2 linked regions of the Drosophila melanogaster genome follow. The protein of the gene in region 2 interacts with the protein of the main gene of each other region in a pairwise test. Each region holds a gene or a part of one and is shown on either strand. Other genes may lie near its edges.

Evidence for each region.
Region 1: the proteins of Rab27 (region 2) and Hsp67Ba interact in a two-hybrid assay, tested with the Drosophila melanogaster proteins (one large-scale study listed by BioGRID).

What each region holds. Positions count from the first base shown.
Region 1 is NT_037436.4:9,377,070-9,381,579, reverse strand, and holds Hsp67Ba (heat shock gene 67Ba), read left to right. Parts: upstream 1-2,045; 5' UTR 2,046-2,140; coding exon 2,141-3,478; 3' UTR 3,479-3,778; downstream 3,779-4,510. Other genes in the region: Hsp26 (heat shock protein 26), read left to right, coding at 4,392-4,510.
Region 2 is NC_004354.4:1,473,141-1,478,623, forward strand, and holds Rab27 (Rab27), read right to left. Parts: upstream 3,835-5,483; 5' UTR 3,173-3,834; coding exon 3,116-3,172; intron 1,753-3,115; exon of another isoform or gene 1,694-1,752; coding exon of another isoform or gene 1,655-1,693; coding exon 1,535-1,654; intron 1,371-1,534; coding exon 837-1,370; 3' UTR 744-836; downstream 1-743. Other genes in the region: CG14780 (uncharacterized protein), read left to right, coding at 1-30, 96-458; mei-38 (meiotic 38), read left to right, coding at 4,052-4,148, 4,236-5,089.

The sequences.
Region 1 (4,510 bases), on a different chromosome or scaffold from region 2:
TATGTATAGATGTACGTATGTAAGCACGTATGTATGTACATACATAGCAGATAGGAAGGTTGGAGTATATTCCACGAAGGATGGAGTAAATTCGCGAAACTTCGAGACTGCAGAACAGTTCTTCTTTTTATGGCCTGGCATTTAAGCTATTAACTTTAATTAATATCCAAGAATGGGGCTCTGTAGTGGGGAAATCTAATTAAAATACATAAGTGGTTAATGCCGGGTAGGTAATAACCCATGGGATGTAAGCGTATTATTACTCCAATCAGTAAGAAAATGTAAAAATGATACGATTTGGAACATATGTACATTCATACAATAAAGGATTCGAAGGATGTAAAAATTATTTGAATAAAATGTAATGCAACTATTTTGAATTTCAAAGGTCGATAGATGAAAACATAAACCAAAAAACATTAAAAACATTTAATAAATTCTAATAGTCAATATTTGGTTTATTGAAAACGAGGCTGTAACCTTTTATTATATTTGACCAATTTCTTAAGACAAATACATATGTATGTATGTAAGATTTAGCTGCACATTTGCTTGGTACAACTTGATAAATATTCAGCTTATATACACATTGTTTAGAATTCAGAATTACTTCGTAATAACCAAATCAAATGACAATTTGTTTACAATTTGTTGTTACAGTAGCGATTGAATAACCATATAATACATGGGCATTGCTATAGAACTCAATCTCTGGTTGTTATATAATTCGAGTTTTTATTTATGGCCCCATTTTCTTGTCACCACTCCTCCTCCACTGAAGTAGAGTACTCTTGGTGCCCAGGGCTTGGACAATCCAACGCCAACGCAGTGGAAGTTGTCTATTCAAAAAGGTGGCCACATAATGTGCGAGCATGCTCGTCCGGCGGATTTCTTCCCCTTGGTTAGGTAAATGGGAGCAAGTACCCAGTGTGTATGTACATGGGGAATGTATCGTATGTACAAGGGGGCATCTCGTACGCAGCAATCTCTGAAGGTTTTTGCTCTTTTCCGACTGCAGCTGGCAGATACACCATATCAATACAAACATACTATATAATATAATATATGGCCATACAGAATTGTATCCCGCAGCTGAGTTCGGGGCCCCAGTAAATTTTTAGCAAAGTCTCCACTGTCTGGCCCCCGTCTGGATGTTGTTGGTGTTGTTGTTGTTTTTTGCATTTTGGAGCTTTTCAACCGGTTGCCATCGCTTGCACTTGGCTATGTAACCACATACGAATCCAGCAATATCATCATCATCTGTGTGGCAGGGTATGTATGTATGTATGTAGATACAAATGTATATGGAGATACCATATGTATGGGTTGCCCCAGACGCTGTCACTGCGCATGTTTACGCGACGCCGGCTTGCCAATCCTCCAGCTCTGGCAACAGCGGATTTGTAGCTTCCAGGCGGCCCTGCCAGCCAGCCAGCCAGCCAGCTGTTGTTGTAGTTGTTTATCGCCGGCGACTCGAATCCGCATCGGCAACCGGCACGAGACTCAGACTCTCAGCTGTTCGCTCAATGCCGGCAGTGGGAATTCAGCTGCAACACGACCACTTTACATATACCCCGTCTATATGGATATTTGTATATATGAGTACATATATGTATATCGCCGGTACAAGGAAGATGGCATCTCTTGGGGGGGATATTCGTGCATATATGCTTCGATTTCAAGCCGGTTTGCCTCTTTTACGTATCTTTTTTATTTGGTTTTGCAACGTTGCAGTTTGGTTTGTCTGGTTTCTTGCCGACTACGAGTACGAGTACTTTCTTTGTTCTCTGGCTATCTGCGGTAGAGGAAAAGTATCTCTTATTTCGGTGTATATAGCAGAAAATGGCATAGTACATGGCTTGACTGACTGTTTTAATGGGTAGCCCTTCCCCTTGGTGAGTTCTCTGGAGGAGTTGCATAGTTTTTCGCCTGGGAGCTGGCATGGAAGCCGACTGGAAGTGACCAGGTTTTCCATTCAGCGCTGCACAGCCGCTTAAAAGCGTCGACATTCAGCCATAAGGGCTCAAACGCAGTCCAGTTGGAGGCCAGAACGGATCGCCGCCGGTTCCCAGACGACACCAATCCCCGCAAGACCTAAAAAATAAAAGATATATCTTAGCCAGATAGGAAGAAAGTGAAAATGTCGCTGATACCGTTCATACTAGATTTGGCCGAGGAGCTGCACGATTTCAATCGCAGCCTGGCAATGGATATAGATGATTCGGCCGGATTCGGGTTGTATCCACTGGAGGCCACCTCACAGTTGCCACAGCTGAGTCGTGGGTTGGGGCGTGGGAATGCAATGATGTGGGTGCCCATCAAGGGTCAGTCGGCGGCATCGCAGCATCGCCATCATCCGTACAATCGTGTGGCCGGAGCCAAGACTGCTTGCTGCAATAAGTCGCTGGTGGAGCTGGAAAAGGAATTGGGCGATAAGGGCACGTCCGGGGCAAGCGGCAGCACCAGTGGCCAACCGGCGGCCAGCAAATCCGCCTACTCCGTGGTGAATAGGAACGGCTTCCAGGTGAGCATGAATGTGAAGCAGTTCGCCGCCAACGAACTGACCGTCAAGACCATCGATAACTGCATCGTGGTCGAGGGTCAGCACGACGAGAAGGAGGATGGCCACGGGGTGATCTCGCGCCACTTCATCCGCAAGTACATCCTGCCCAAGGGCTATGATCCCAACGAGGTGCACTCGACCCTCTCCTCGGACGGCATTCTGACGGTGAAGGCGCCGCCACCACTTCCAGTCGTCAAAGGCAGCCTGGAACGACAGGAGCGCATCGTAGACATCCAGCAGATATCGCAGCAGCAGAAGGATAAGGATGCGCAGCCGCCAAAGCCGTCAGAGGTAGAGCAGCAGGCGGCAGCTAGTGCCACCACTTCCACTTTAAATCCGACTGCACCCACACCCACTCCTTCGCTCTCGCTCACTCTCGCCGAGAGCAACGGCAACGGTCAGGAAGAGACAGAGATGGAAATGCCGGCTGTTTCGCCCCCCATTTCCAATGAGGCTGCTGCTGCCGCTGCTGTTGCAGTGGAAGCCCCTTCCACCGCAGGAACCACTTCCAGTGCCAACAATGGCGTTGCAGAACCAGAATCAGAGTCCATGGAAGTGGCGTTGGCCAAAAACGAAGAGACTGCCAATGTGGATGAACCCACACCCAATCCCGTTATAAGCATCGAAGAGGAGCAAAAGGCAGAGGATGCAAATGCCAACGAAGTGCCCGTTGCCTCGAATAACGGCAATGGAGCAGTCGCAGCAGCCGAGGATGTGGAAATGCCGCTGGCCAAGAAACCGGAAATCTCCACGGAAGACAGCAAAGAGGAGCAGGCGGAGAAGGTTGATAAAGTAGAGAAAGTGGAGGAGAAGGGCGGCGAGGAACTGGCAGCCGTAGATGCGGCCATTCTACTGGCCAAAAACCAAGGCGAAAATGGAGCCACTGCAGCCAAAACCGAGGAACTGGCCAAGTGAAGACTGAACTAAAAGAAAGAACATAAATAGTAATTAAGAACAAATAATAATCTGCACGGGTAGGCGTGCGTTTTATTCCATACGTGTTTCTTGTGTTTTCTTTTCTTGCATTTCACACAAAAAAAAAGAAGCGAGAAAGCTGACGGGAAAAGCACTCAATTACTAATAGTGGGAGATTGCTGGCGTTATATGTATGTATGATTTTCTAAAAAACATATGTGACAACAACTACAAGTATTCCAGTAAAACTTAAAGACAGAAACACGAAATAATGTACTTAATAAAGAGGAAAACCAGAATAAAAAAAACTGACGTTTTGTTTTGTTTGCCGTTAGCCGGCTGTTTCTTTTGCGCTCTTTCTAGAAAATTGCAACAACTCTCTAGAAACTTCGGCTCTCTCACTCATACAGGCGCACTAGCTCTGCTTTTGCGCGTACGACAACAACTACATTTAAAATTTCTCGAAACTCATGGCATTTATTGGGAAAGGTTAGTTAGTTTTATTTTTTGTTTTTAGAGCAGCATTCAATTTAGACTTTTATAAAAGAAATTTCTAATTTGATCCCTCGTTTATCAAACGATACAAAGCTATATTCATAATTTTTTCTCTCTGTGCACGTTCTCTCTCTTCTCTTCTCTCTCTCTACTCTTTCCTTTTTCTGTCACTTTCCGGACTCTTCTAGAAAAGCTCCAGCGGGTATAAAAGCAGCGTCGCTTGACGAACAGAGCACAGATCGAATTCAAAAATCGAGCAGTGAACAACTCAAAGCAACTTTGCGCAAAAGCAAAACTTCAAACGAGAAAAAAAAGGATTAAAAACCTTTGCTTACAAGTCAAACAAGTTCATTCAACTTAACCAAAGAAAAAATATTTCAATCTCGCAAAAGGAACATAACCTAAAGGAAACGTAAAAATGTCGCTATCTACTCTGCTTTCGCTTGTGGATGAACTCCAGGAGCCCCGCAGCCCCATCTACGAGCTTGGACTGGGATTGCATCCGCATTCCCGCTACGTGCTGCCCCTTGGCACTCA
Region 2 (5,483 bases):
CAGGTGGCCGGCTGGGGTCGAACCGAGCAGGTGAGTCGGATTTGTAGAGCCGTAGGCAAGCCATTGAGCCCGCAGCTTATCTGACTCTTTCCCAGAGCTCCCTCTCCAACATCCTGCTGACGGCCAACGTGAGCACCATCCGGCACCAGACCTGCCGCATGATCTACAGGTCCGGCCTGCTGCCCGGGATGATGTGCGCAGGACGCCTGCAGGGCGGCACCGATTCTTGTCAAGGCGACTCCGGCGGACCGTTGGTGCACGAGGGCCGTCTGGTGGGTGTGGTCTCCTGGGGCTACGGATGCGCAGAGCCGGGACTGCCGGGAGTCTACGTGGACGTGGAGTACTACCGCCAGTGGATAGAGGGACGCAGCGGGGCTCCCCATTCCAGGCTGGCTACCGGACTGTTCCTACTCCTGCTCCTGCCCCTGCTGATGCGGTGCTCGGGGTCGTGGCTATAGCCACCATTTCGGCATCCATGCCAGTGCTTTAGTCTATGTAGTAACTATGTTCTAAACAAAATATTCATAATACACATTCACGTACAATGTAGCGACAGCTCTGAATCTAAGAGCTACCGTATGCAAACCTATGTATGTATCTATCTTTCGAATCACTTTTGGTACCTCGAATGCCATTCCGCAGCTATCAGTTATCTACAATCTACAAATCTGGACGGTTTCGAAAGAGTCGGATAATTACAACGACCTCTTCGTATCTTGTCGTGCAATGAAACGCTTTCCACTCAACAATCAACATTTATTTACAGCGAAACACACTTAGATTCGGAAACACGAGTCAAGGAACAAAGCAGGGTGACTTGGCCACGGGCATGGCACCTAACAGTTGCGGCAGTTGCGCCGCGAGCAGGGCTCCTCTCGCCGATCGTGGAGGCGCACCAGGTCCTCCGGCTGACCGTAGGCGATGTTCGGCAGGCATCGCGACTGGGTCAGTAGCAGGGAGAACTCGCGGTTGCAGGCCGCGTTCTCGATCCGCTCCATGACCCGGCCAACCAGCAGCTCCACGGCCTCCTTGACGTTGGCGCCGGTGCAGGCGCTCGTCTCGATGTACGGCAGCCGGTAGCGTCGGCAGAGGGCCGCCACCTGGTCGCGACTCACCACGCGCAGCTGCAGCAGGTCGCACTTGTTGCCGCAGAGGACCACGTCGGGGTCCTCGGAGTAGGCGTGCGTCCGCAGCTGCGACAGCCAGTTGGCCGTCTCCAGGAAGCTCTTCTCGCTGGTCAGGTCGAAGATGAGCAGGAAACCCATGGCGTCGCGGTAAAACGCCGTGGTTAGTGAACGGAAGCGCTCCTGTCCGGCGGTGTCCCAGATCTGCAGGTGGATGCGGTGGCGGCGTCCGCGGGAGTTGTACAGCTGAAGGATGCAAAAAAAAGTGATGGGTCACTAGGGTTCGGAAATGATAGTGATGTGGTTGCAAAATCCTCGTGACTCTCAAACCGACTTCACTAGGATTGTGTTGGCTATGTTAGGTGAGTCCCATGAAAAGGATCACAGGATGATTAGCCGCTTGAACTTACCAGCCGCTTTTCGCGGAAGTCGATGCCCACAGTGGAGATGAACTGGGTGTGGAACCGGCCATCCGTGTACTGGTAGAGGAGACAGGTCTTTCCCACGCCGGAGTCGCCCAGGACGAGGAACTTGAGCAGGTAATCGTAGTCGATGTTGGCGCCCGTCATAATGGCCGTTCGTAGCAGCGCGTTTGGAACGTTCAGGACCGCAGACGCATCCCGTCCGCCTGGAAGCAGGGAAACGAATGAGCTGCCCGTTCCTGTACAGCTCTCCCAAGCAATGGTTGTCCCCCAGCTACCAGCTTCCTGCCTCCTGCCCCTGCTGTCTATCCACTCGCCACTCTTCCTCCTCTTTTGTGTAAGACCGGGCTTAGGCTGACAGGAGCGGAGGCGGGGCACTCTAATCGGGAGGCATCTTCGTGAGCGTGGCTCCCACCCACTGCCAGCTGCCACCCCCATAATGCGACCCACTTACCCACACCACACCATCTCGCTGCACCGTGGCAAATATTTGAAACTCATTAAATCCCGATTTATTGATTTTCTGTCCCGTTCCGGGCGAAATTCGGGCGTGTGGAGTGGGTTCGATGGGTCGCGATGGCGGGGAATCCCTTTCGCCCGCTTCCGCATCAATGGACAAGCCGATCGAGATTTCGAGCATTCCCGCTGGAAGCGGCGCCCAACGGTATGTCGCTCGGCAGAACAGAGAGAGATGACAAGGGGCAGTAGAAAAGTGGAAAGTGGCTGGAGCATAGGAAGGCTAACCCCGCCCCTGCCCCGCTAATTAGACCAACGGCCAACGCTCAAAATGACGCGATGCGGTGGGCAGGAGGAGAGAACGTGCAGCATCTCTGCACCCTGGCTTCCTTCCCGCGCTAAGCGGATTACGGTCGCTGCCTGCGGTTGAAGTGGTTGCTAGACAACGGGGCCTCCGTCACTGGAAAGTAACAACAGAGATCGAAGTAATAACTGGGACCGCGCTCCCAGTGCGCCTTCTGCGCATCCCGAATCCGGCAGCACTCAATGGAATCCTGCCTGCTGATGTCTTGTAATCTAATTTCCTCCCGTTTCCGGCAGCTGTCTCACGTCTCCGGCCCCTATTTCCGAATCCGCTGCCTCGCAGAGGGAGCACGCATAGGTTACAGTCGTCTGCTGCTCGCCAAGTCTCCCAGGGGGAGATGGTAGGCGGGTGGACAGTGGTTGGTGGGCAAATCGAATTAGCATGCACGCACAGCCATAGCCATCCCACTCGGCTGACGGTTAATTTTAAACCTTTATTGATTCGCAAGATCTTGCGGGGCTCAGGTGGGCCTAGCGACGGAAATAGCCTCCCGTTTCCGGGGGTGGTGTTCAACATGAGGGGGGTGGGCTAAGGCGAGTGATGGCAATTAGGAGCAAACCACAAGGCCTCCACTCAAGGACGTCCTCCCAGCTTCCTTCCGCCCTTTCAGCGCGTCCAGCTGCACTAGGACAAGGACGGCTTCCAATTAAAGCTAGACCGCAGTGCCGTAATTAGCTGCAGCTGCCGCGTTTCTGCCGAGCGATTAAACATAGCCACCGCCACCTTAGCCCCTTAGTTCCTCAGCTCACCTGTTCACCGGATCCGGCTAATTGCAGAGGCTCAGGCTCAGGAGGCGCGGCACGCATTTCTGCTCCGACGCCCGCCGTCGACTTTGGCGCCCAAGGCGGCTTCTTTCGGCACGCCGCACGCCACTCGTCACTCCAAGGATCTGGAAGGAATCTGCGATTCAGCTGACTGGACCAGACTGACTGGGCGGGCAACCGTTATTTTTAGCGCGCGCAATTCGTCCGCGCGGGGGAAGGGACCTTCAACCACCTTGCAGAGGTTTGCTAAACGAAAACAAGCGACCCACGAGGACTTCGAAAACTCCGAGGCTGTGCGGATGCTGCGGATGCAACGCAGTGGATCCTCTGGGCGGTGCGCTGCCCGACCTGTTGCCATGCGCTGCCCAGCACAGACTACAGGGCTCGTTGGCCGCCAACAGGCAGTCCCTTTTCCGAGGCTCAGCTTTCAGCCAAAGCTTGCGCCAGCTTTCAAGCGCTTCCGCGCGCGACAGGTGCGCCGCACAGGTGTCCTTTCCCACGGGAACGTGGTTATTTCGTGAGTACTTCGAAGCACTCTCGAGACATAATCCCTCGGGCAACTTTAAGAATGGAACGGCTTTGGACGGAGCTTCCGCGGGACGGCGCCTAAGCTTTGCTCTCCGACGAAGGCTTCAAAGTCAGGAGTGTATCCCGTGCTCGAATAGTCCACTGTTTCTATAATCCTAGTGTTCAGCAATCAAATTTCGTGTTACTAAATAACACTGAGCCACATTTTTCAGTAAATTGAAGTTTGCGCGCGCAGAGCTATCGATAAGTATCGCGAGATAAACCAGTGCTGTAAAGCGCCGCCATTTAATTGCACTTATCGAGTTTCTTGCGGGCTCGGGATTTGCTTTGTTTTTTTTTTTTGAATCGGTGCGGAAACTTCTCGGTTGAGGTTTTATTCTCTATTTACTGGCCATGGACAACGCAAGCTCAACTTTTGGCCAGTCGGACTTCGACTGGGACGCCATCAACGTGGGTGACTACCAGTTGGATCACTCCCAGAACTTTTTCGGTGCGTATCCAGGCCACCGCGTCCAAGCTGAGAAAACGCGCCATTTTTGGCCGACCATTGCTGACCATTTCCCGCATTTCCCAGCAGCACGGGCCAACAAGGAGAACAACAGGAGCCTCAGCAATGTTAACCCCCTCCTGCTGTGCACCACTCCGCAGAAGATCGGCCGGGAACAGCGCGATGGTGACTTCGATGGCAAGCTGATTAGTGCTGGGGATCTCAAGAAGGAGTCCCCCAAAGACACGACAGAGGCGTCCAAGGATGCACTCACTATCAAGCCCAAAGTTGAGCCCCACGATGTGCCAGAACTCAAGTTGAAAACAGAGCTCCAGGAGCTGGCTCAAGTGTCCCCACTTGACAACGGCCCAGAGCCGCAGGACGACATCAAACAAATTGTTCCGCTCAACTGGGGCAAGGATGGGGACGATGATGAGAAGCACATGACGGAGGCCGATCAGCACTTGGTCCACCAGGAACGTCCTCCCGGCGTCGGGGCCAAGCTCCGCCTGGAGTGGTCACCCCCACGCCACCGCGAGCACGAGGGAGCCGGCGCCTCTGCCACATCCGCCGCCCCCAAGGCATACCAGTTCAAGGACGTGTACGAGAGCAAGCGGCAGCAGGCGATGCGCAAGCGCTCCGAGGAGGAAAGCAAGGCGCGCCAGTTCCACAGCCGACCCATGCCCAACTTTAAGGCCATGCACAAGCGCATGAACGAGCTGGCAGTCATCCACAAAATCACCGTCCCGCGCACGCCCGAGACGCTCAAGCACAGCCAGTCGAACGTGGAGCGGCGTCGCGACGACGATCCGGCCGACCAGGCGCGACTGCATCCGGCTGGTACCCGCTCCAGACCCTTCCACCTGCGCAGCGAGCAGCGCGTGCGCGACCGACGCGAGTTCGACGCCGCCGTGCAGGTCAGCCTGGAGCAGAAGAAGAAGGAGGTAAAGACTAAATCTAGTAGCCCTTAAGCATTGGTTCCGAACACAAGCAGATAATTTTCGAGCTCAGGGCCGGAATTTCATTTATGTGATTTATGTGATGTGTGCTGCTGGTTTAGGTGGTTTCTTAGCAACTGACCGTGTGTTTAGTCATTAACTTGAAGAGGCTTAGTTGTTCCTACATTTTTTCAGAATATATTGTTTAATCCAATGTAATAAACCATTTGCAAATGACCCCCCTTCGAGGGCTCAGTGTAAGCACCGTTCGTTAAGTTCAAAAAGTGCGTTCCCACCGCCACGGGGAGTTTTCCAACACCAGCGCGCCGGCATTTAGCTGCGATCCGCGAGCGGCCACACTGCGCTCGAAAAATAACGTATTTCTCCAAGTATTGCTGCC